Linked DNA regions of Xenopus tropicalis. The protein of the gene in region 1 binds, or shares a complex with, the protein of each later gene. Links are inferred from orthologs where the notes say so. Each region holds a gene or a part of one and is shown in the gene's direction. Other genes may lie near its edges.

Region 1 (3,912 bases):
GCAGTAAGTACTTAAAAAGAATGCCTTTAGCCTTACTTTTAATTTATATTAACCTTTCATTGTCCTTTAAAGCCTGATGCACATTTCGCTCCTTATACTCTGGAGCTTAATCAAAAAGCTTGTCCTTTTCAGATCAGCATGGGTTCACCAAGCCAAGGGTCTTTGGGTTTTAAATATTGTGTCCCAGGACTGCCATCTTGAATTGTCTTCCAATGCTCAGCATTTATTTGTCTCTTCAAACCAAGAACTCCATAGGTGATGGAAGCCTTATAGGTTATTATTCAGGATCTACTTTCAAAGAAAGTCATTATTGAAGTTCCCAGAAAGGAAATATATATGTACCTGTATATTTTGCTCAGAAGTAAGCAGAATTGAGAATTCGGGGTTAAAAAAACTGTTAAACCAGTCTCAAAAGTAAAGGCATTCAAAATGGAGACTCTTAGGTCTTAGATGTTTATCTTCATATTCCTACTGTATAGGCAAAACATACAGAAAACTCCTGAAGTTCCATGTTCTGAGAAAGCACCTTCCGTACAGATCTCTTCCGTTTGGCTTGGCAAAAATCTTAGGCTCTAGGCGCCCATTATAGCAAATCTTCTTCTTCCAGGGGTGCAGATTTTCTCATATTTAGGGTGAAGACACACTGAGCTACTAGTAGCAGCTACTTGTCACGGCTACTAAACGCCAGAAAATCCCCTGCCATAGACAATACTGAGAATTGCCTCTGCTAAAACACACATAGAGACAATTATCGGTAAATGATCAGCATTGTCTATTTTATTGGGGCAAAGACACACTGGGCTACTTAGTAGCAGCTACTTTCTCATGGCTACTAAACGCCAGAAAATCCCCTGCCATAGACAATACTGAGAATTGCCTCTGCTAAAACACACGTAGAGACAATTATCAGTAAATGATCAGCATTGTCTGTTTTAGTAGCCGTGACAAGTAGCTGCTACTAGTAGCTCTGTGTGACTTCACCACATGTTGCTGAAATCTCTATCATTAGTGTCACAACTTCAGTCCATGGGTGGGTAATAAATTGAAACAAATCTCATGGGATTCCTGCCCAGAGAATAGAGTTTCCAGGAGTAAAGGAATGGTTGACTGTAATGTGACAAGTTGGCTTGGGGCTGGTAATTCCCAGTGCTGTATAACATAGAGCGCCTATTATATTGATACCCTTGCACTCAAAGTGCCGCACATGCGCAAAGCAGCGGGTCACATGGTCCCCCCCCCCCCAGGCTGCCAGCGGCGCACAGCTCTGACGTCACGTCTCGGCGGAGGAACATGTCCGAAGCTTCCGGTCGCACGGCGGGAAACGAGATGCCGGCCAAGAAACAGAAGCTCAGCAGCGATGAGAACAGTAACCCGGAGCTGTCTGGGGATGAGAACGTAAGGAAGGGGCTTAGTGAGGCGGGAACGCAGGGCGCACTGATGCTGCCGGGGTGCTGGGGTTATTAGCGAGCAGGCTGCCGGGGGGCTTCGGGGGAAGTGGGGCTAAAGTTACCGGAGCTGGCGGAACGGTGCGGGGAGATGCTAAAGGGGCGGGGGGCAAGGCGAGTGTTGTTGGGAGGTGTGTGGGGCAGAAGGGTTAAGCGAGCGGGTAGGAAGGCAGAACAAGTTGAAGGTGCTGGGGGGCAGGCAGGGGCACCTGAGGGTGCTGGGGGGCAGGCAGGAGTGGCTGTAGGTGCTGGGGGGCAGGCAGGGGCACCTGAGGGTGCTGGGGGGCAGGCAGGAGTGGCTGTAGGTGCTGGGGGGCAGGCAGGAGTGGCTGTAGGTGCTGGGGGGCAGGCAGGAGTGGCTGTAGGTGCTGGGGGGCAGGCAGGGGCACCTGATCGTGCTGGGGCCATATACAGGAGTGGCTGTAGGTGCTGGGGGATAGGCAGGAGTGGCTGTAGGTGCTGGGGGGCAGGCAGGAGTGGCTGTAGGTGCTGGGGGGCAGGCAGGAGTGGCTGTAGGTGCTGGGGGGCAGGCAGGGGCACCTGAGGGTGCTGGGGGGATAGGCAGGAGTGGCTGTAGGTGCTGGGGGGCAGGCAGGAGTGGCTGTAGGTGCTGGGGGGCAGGCAGGAGTGGCTGTAGGTGCTGGGGGGCAGGCAGGGGCACCTGAGGGTGCTGGGGGGATAGGCAGGAGTGGCTGTAGGTGCTGGGGGGATAGGCAGGAGTGGCTGTAGGTGCTGGGGGGATAGGCAGGAGTGGCTGTAGGTGCTGGGGGGCAGGCAGGAGTGGCTGTAGGTGCTGGGGGGATAGGCAGGAGTGGCTGTAGGTGCTGGGGGGCAGGCAGGAGTGGCTGTAGGTGCTGGGGGGGGTAGGCAGGAGTGGCTGTAGGTGCTGGGGGGATAGGCAGGAGTGGCTGTAGGTGCTGGGGTCAGAGAGGATCGACTGAATGTGTTGGGGGACAGACAGGAGCGGTTAAATATGATGGAGGCAGAGAGGAGCGGCTGGGGGGGGAGGGCAGCAGCACCTGGGGGTACTGTGGGGTGGGCAGGAGTGGCTGAAGGTGCTGGGGACAAGCAAGAGGGGGCCCAATTGGGGGTGGGCAGGTGTGCCTGAAGGGGATGGGGGGGTGGAGACAGGAGAGCCTGAAGGGGATGGGGGGGGCGGGGGAGACAGGAGAGCCTGAGGGTACCGGGAGTGGGCAGAAGTGGCCGAAGGTGATGGGGGGCAGGAGAGCCTGAGGGTACTGGGAGTGGGCAGAAGTGGCTGAAGGTGATGGGGGGGGGGGGGGCAGGAGAGCCTGAGGGTACTGGGAGTGGGCAGAAGTGGCTGAAGGTGATGGGGGGGGGCAGGAGAGCCTGAGGGTACTGGGAGTGGGCAGAAGTGGCTGAAGGTGATGGGGGGGCAGGAGAGCCTGAGCGTACCGGGAGTGGGCAGAAGTGGCCGAAGGTGATGGGGGGCAGGAGAGCCTGAGGGTACTGGGAGTGGGCAGAAGTGGCTGAAGGTGATGGGGGGGGGGGGGCAGGAGAGCCTGAGGGTACTGGGAGTGGGCAGAAGTGGCTGAAGGTGATGGGGGGGGGGGGGCAGGAGAGCCTGAGGGTACTGGGAGTGGGCAGAAGTGGCTGAAGGTGATGAGGGGGGGCAGGAGAGCCTGAGGGTACTGGGAGTGGGCAGAAGTGGCTGAAGGTGATGGGGGGGGGGGGGGGGCAGGAGAGCCTGAGGGTACTGGGAGTGGGCAGAAGTGGCTGAAGGTGATGGGGGGGGGGGGGCAGGAGAGCCTGAGGGTACTGGGAGTGGGCAGAAGTGGCTGAAGGTGTTGGGGGGGGGGGGGGGGGCAAGAGAGCCTGAGGGTACTGGAGACATGAGTGGCTGGAAGTTTTGGGGCAGACATGAGTGGCAGGGAGTGTTGGGGGGGTTTACAGAAGTGATAGGAATGCTATCAGGTGGAAGTGGCACAAAGCTGGGTTGGGAGCTGGCAAGGGGGCTGGGTGGGGAAGGGATCAGATGGTGTTGGGAAGTAAGCTGGGGTTGTTACAGAAGGGACAGAGGTGGCAGTAATATTACATAAGTGGCGGCAGGAGGGAATAAACAAGTGAGGAAGAGTTGGGAAAAGGCTTATGGGTATGGGGAACATACAGACTGAGTTGCTGTGGGAGCCAGAGGTAAAGGTGTAAGGCTGCAAGCAGAGGGAGAGGGGGAGCAGCGGGTACAGAGATGTTACACAAGTCACTGCAGTGGGGGGAAAGCCGGGGAGCCACTTGGCTCATAGTAATGTAATATTGTCATGTGGTATTGTTTAGTAACTAATGTGCCGTGCCTTGGAATAGTACAGCTAGTGTTTTAGGGGTTAATGAATTCTTGACATGAAGGGGTGAGAAAGCCTAAGCAGTTACCCTGTATTGCACTCCTGGGTAAAGGATCGCCAAGCTGCACTGTTATTTGTACTCCAGTACCATTTTAGTTTTTTTCCCCTTT
Region 2 (3,746 bases), on another chromosome or scaffold:
CTTCAGTGTATCCCTTGCAACATTATTGGGGCTGTGGACAAATTAGTACATGAGATGCTAGTAAGATGTTCAGATGACAAAAAAATGTGGGTTTTTATAAAAATCTGGTAGTTTTCTTGCTCGGTATTTATGTATTATCTACTTATTATATTTTTAGCTGATCTCTCAAGACGAAGCAGATCGAAGAGGAAAAGTTTATGACAAATATATGTCCAGTTTTCTCTTTAACCTCAACAATGGTAAATCAGTTATTTTATGTTCCTTAGTCATTCAGCACTTAGTTAGGGTATTCTTAAATGAGCCCTTACATGGTACAGACCTAACCCTGTGGTGTATATATATTTTCAGTTAAAATTGGGTCAGTCTAAATGTTACAGCTGGCAATAAGCATCTAATAATGCAGCACCTGGAAAGTAATCTTGGTATCACACCTTGTGCTTCACTTCTTATATTTTCTTTTTAATGCTTTCTCTTTAGATTTTGTTGTTGATGCTACACGTAAAGGAAACAAAATCAGATTTGCAAATCACTCTGTTCATCCCAATTGTTATGCAAAAGGTAATGTAAAACTGAGGGCATCCCATGCTGGTTATTGAAAAATAGTGACACTTCTGTCTCAGCTTATTGTTTTGTAATCATGTATTTATATAGCAACAGCAATTTATGCAAAGCTTTACAATAATACAGAGATCTGACACATAGGGGCTGATTTATCCAAATGTAGGTTTAGAGCTGAATACATAGTATGCCCTGACGTATTAGGGAATTAGAGATTTGCAATGAAATAAGGCAGGGTCAGCATGTGAGCTAGAAGTTAGTAAGGATTCACTTGGTCAAATCTGACTGCCCTCTTTATAGTGAGTCCTGTTCATTTATAATTTACCTTTTTTAAACTGGAGACCTCCACCTCTATTGCTTTCAGAAAAGCTCAGTACTTATTTTGGTCATTGAGGCAACAAGTAGATAGCAATCTGTTATACAACTAAATACAAATTTTGTTACCATTTAAGTGGTAATGGTGAATGGAGACCATCGGATTGGAATCTTTGCTAAAAGAACCATACAAGCAGGAGAAGAATTGTTCTTTGATTACAGGTAAGATGGTGCTAGATTTAATGGAATGAAATGTACAGTTTATTGATGTTTGATATTTGATATTGTAGCTGCAGATTGGGTGGATTTGGTCTGGAAAATGGACCATGACTTTGAGTGGGGGTTATCACTGCTCAGCTAAAGCACACACAACTTTTTATTTGCATGCTGAGGCTGGGCTTCACCTAGCTAGTCTCTTTGATGTCACCTCTGACATTAGCTAAGAGGGTGGGTTAGGCTTTGGTCTTCAAGTCTCTTCTCAACAGCAGGCCAGGTTGGGCCTGATTGACAAGGGGCAAGTTAGGGTGGCACACATCACCAGTATACAGGTTTTCTAGTGGGTTTCTGTGTTATGGATAATACTGGTTCGTAACGTCTGTTTAAGCAGTGTTTTTTTTCTATCTGATTTGTTTTTCAGATACAGCCAAGCTGATGCCCTGAAATATGTTGGTATTGAACGAGAGACTGACATTATATAATGTCTTCGAAATTTGGTTGTTTCATGTACTTTGTCACTGCACCTTGTGATGATGCTGTTTGTTGTTGTCTCTTTCCATTTTCTTCTTTCCCATCCCCTTTGAATGCATTGGGAATGGATGCCAGAAAAACTCCTGATATTGCCAGGCATCTCTTGTTCGCTCAACCATTTGCTCTTTTATACTGCTACCAGTGAATTTCCCCCTTAATGTAGGAAAGAGAAAAAATGGAGCAAATGAGGAGGAAATTAACAAATGAGAAGAGGTTGAAGGAAAAGAGTAAAAGAAGGAGCATATGACAAAGACTAAAAAAGAACTGAGAACAAAGTAACAGAAGAGGGATAGAAAAGAGAAAACCCAAGCAAGAAAAAACAAGGCATCATTGAAGAAGGACTATTTATAAGAATAAATGAAGAAAGGAAGCAATTACAGAGAAAAGAATAACTTTTAAAGTGTGGACCCGTTGTCTAAAATGTCCTGGTGGGCACATGGGAACTGACACATCAGTCTGACACAGGACTCCATAAAACTGTACTGTTGTGAAAAGAACTCTTTGCTGGCCATTAATTCTGACTATTCTGTTGCTACAATTTTTTTCTGGGTTCAAATTTTATCACAAATGGTAGGCATGCACTTGTCAAAAACATTAGGCTCATTGTTCCTTAGTTACACTGATCATTATGTTTAGGCCACTTCTCTATATGGAAATCACTTGTTTCACCCTCACAGCCAATCCTACACACAAAAACTACACACAGACATGTCCTGGAATGCGTAACAGGGTTAAATGGGAATATACAGGCCCTGGTTTCATAGACCAGGAAGAACTAGTGAATTAGTAAAAAAGTTGGAGGGAGCAGGCTGCCATGTCACTGAATAGGAATGATGGAAGAAGCAGTCCGGTATGTGACCAAAGAGTTGGCTGTCATGGAGTAGCATTGAGCAGTAAGGGAATAGGCAGCCACGTGAGTAGGTAAGAAGGGCAGGAAGTTCAAGTGGGGGAATGGGAATGCCATGTCAACTAGCAGGGAGGGAGAATAAGCAAGCAGGCATATCTCAGAGAGGAATAAAGAACTGGTGGGCATGCCACCAAGCAGGAAGGGAGTAAGTAGCAGACAGAAAGCTGGTGGAAAATAGGGGGTAGACATTGATGGACTGAAGTGTGGGGGACAGGGAAATGTTGATGGTTTGGTGGTGTAGTGTACTGTAAGGAAATGCTGACTGACTAATGTGGATGGATTAATGTATTGGTTTTCATCATACATTCTATGAAAAAGTCAACATTAAAATAAGCTTATAGTTTAGTAAACATTGGTATTCTATGACATATGTAGATATCAGTCTCTGCAGTGTCTGCACTCCAATGCAAAAAACCTTGTATCTTGTGGGGTGTGCAGCCAAATTTAATTATTTAGCAATAAATATGAAAGGTCCTGTTGAGGACCGAAACGTCAGATTTTTTATATAAGATGGTCGCATTAACCTTGTGACAATTTTATAGGGTGTGCCAGTCATGGAATATTTTTTGCTATACAGGTATGGGACCTGTTATCCAGAATGCTCGGGAGCTTTCCGGATATGGGATCTTTCCGTAATTTGGATCTCTGTATCTTAAGTATACTAAAAATAATTTTAACATTAATTAAACCCAATAGGATTGTTTTGCCTCAAATAGGATTAATTATATCTTAGTTGGGATCAAGTACAAGGTACTGTTTTCATAGTACAGAGAAAGGGAAATAATTTTAAAAAATTAGAATAATTTGCTTATAATGGAGTCTATGGGACATGGGCTTTCCATAATTTGGAGCTTTCTAAATAATGGGTTTCCGGTTAACAGATCCCATACCTGTATATATGTATGTATACACCACTAACAATGATTATGGATGTACAAAGGTATGAAACATACCACGGTCCTCAGCGCTTTAGATAAAGTTCCAGTGAAGTGCTGTAATGGCTGTGATACTGCTGCTCCTCTTACGAATATAACCCCTTTGACCGGGTCTCAAGCGTGTCCAGAAAAGTGTGAAGGGAGCGCATGTATAAAGTGAAACAAAAGAACTGATAGTGTGAAAACATTTTGAAACTTTGTTCAAATAACTAAACCAATCACCTTATTGTGTGTGAAACAAATTTACTATATAAAATTTCTGCTAAAAATAAAACTACTTACAG

What was found.
Region 2: the proteins of eed (region 1) and ezh1 are in contact, whole or in part, in a cryo-EM structure (PDB 7KTP), measured with the Homo sapiens proteins. The link is inferred for Xenopus tropicalis from reciprocal best matches to the Homo sapiens genes EED and EZH1. Residues at the interface, in NP_003788.2 of Homo sapiens: Cys84, Val85, Asn86, Ser87, Leu88, Lys89, Glu90, Asp91, Trp103, His104, Ser105, Lys106, Glu107, Val112, Arg120, Leu123, Tyr124, Gln129, Gly130, Glu131, Ile132, Arg133, Leu134, Leu135, Gln136, Ser137, Tyr138, Val139, Asp140, Tyr154; in NP_001982.2 of Homo sapiens: Gly37, Ala38, Lys39, Leu41, Tyr42, Val43, Asn45, Phe46, Lys48, Val49, Gln50, Lys52, Thr53, Gln54, Leu56, Asn57, Glu59, Trp60, Leu63, Arg64, Val65, Gln66, Pro67, Val68, Gln69, Ser70, Met71, Cys83, Thr84, Ile85.

The regions. Positions count from the first base shown.
Region 1 is NC_030678.2:168,824,087-168,827,998, reverse strand, and holds the start of eed (polycomb protein eed), read left to right. Parts: upstream 1-1,207; 5' UTR 1,208-1,290; coding exon 1,291-1,395; intron 1,396-3,912. UniProt on the Homo sapiens protein: Polycomb group (PcG) protein. Component of the PRC2/EED-EZH2 complex, which methylates 'Lys-9' and 'Lys-27' of histone H3, leading to transcriptional repression of the affected target gene.
Region 2 is NC_030686.2:22,264,977-22,268,722, forward strand, and holds the end of ezh1 (histone-lysine N-methyltransferase EZH1), read left to right. Parts: intron 1-157; coding exon 158-239; intron 240-477; coding exon 478-558; intron 559-1,010; coding exon 1,011-1,095; intron 1,096-1,510; coding exon 1,511-1,571; 3' UTR 1,572-3,042; downstream 3,043-3,746.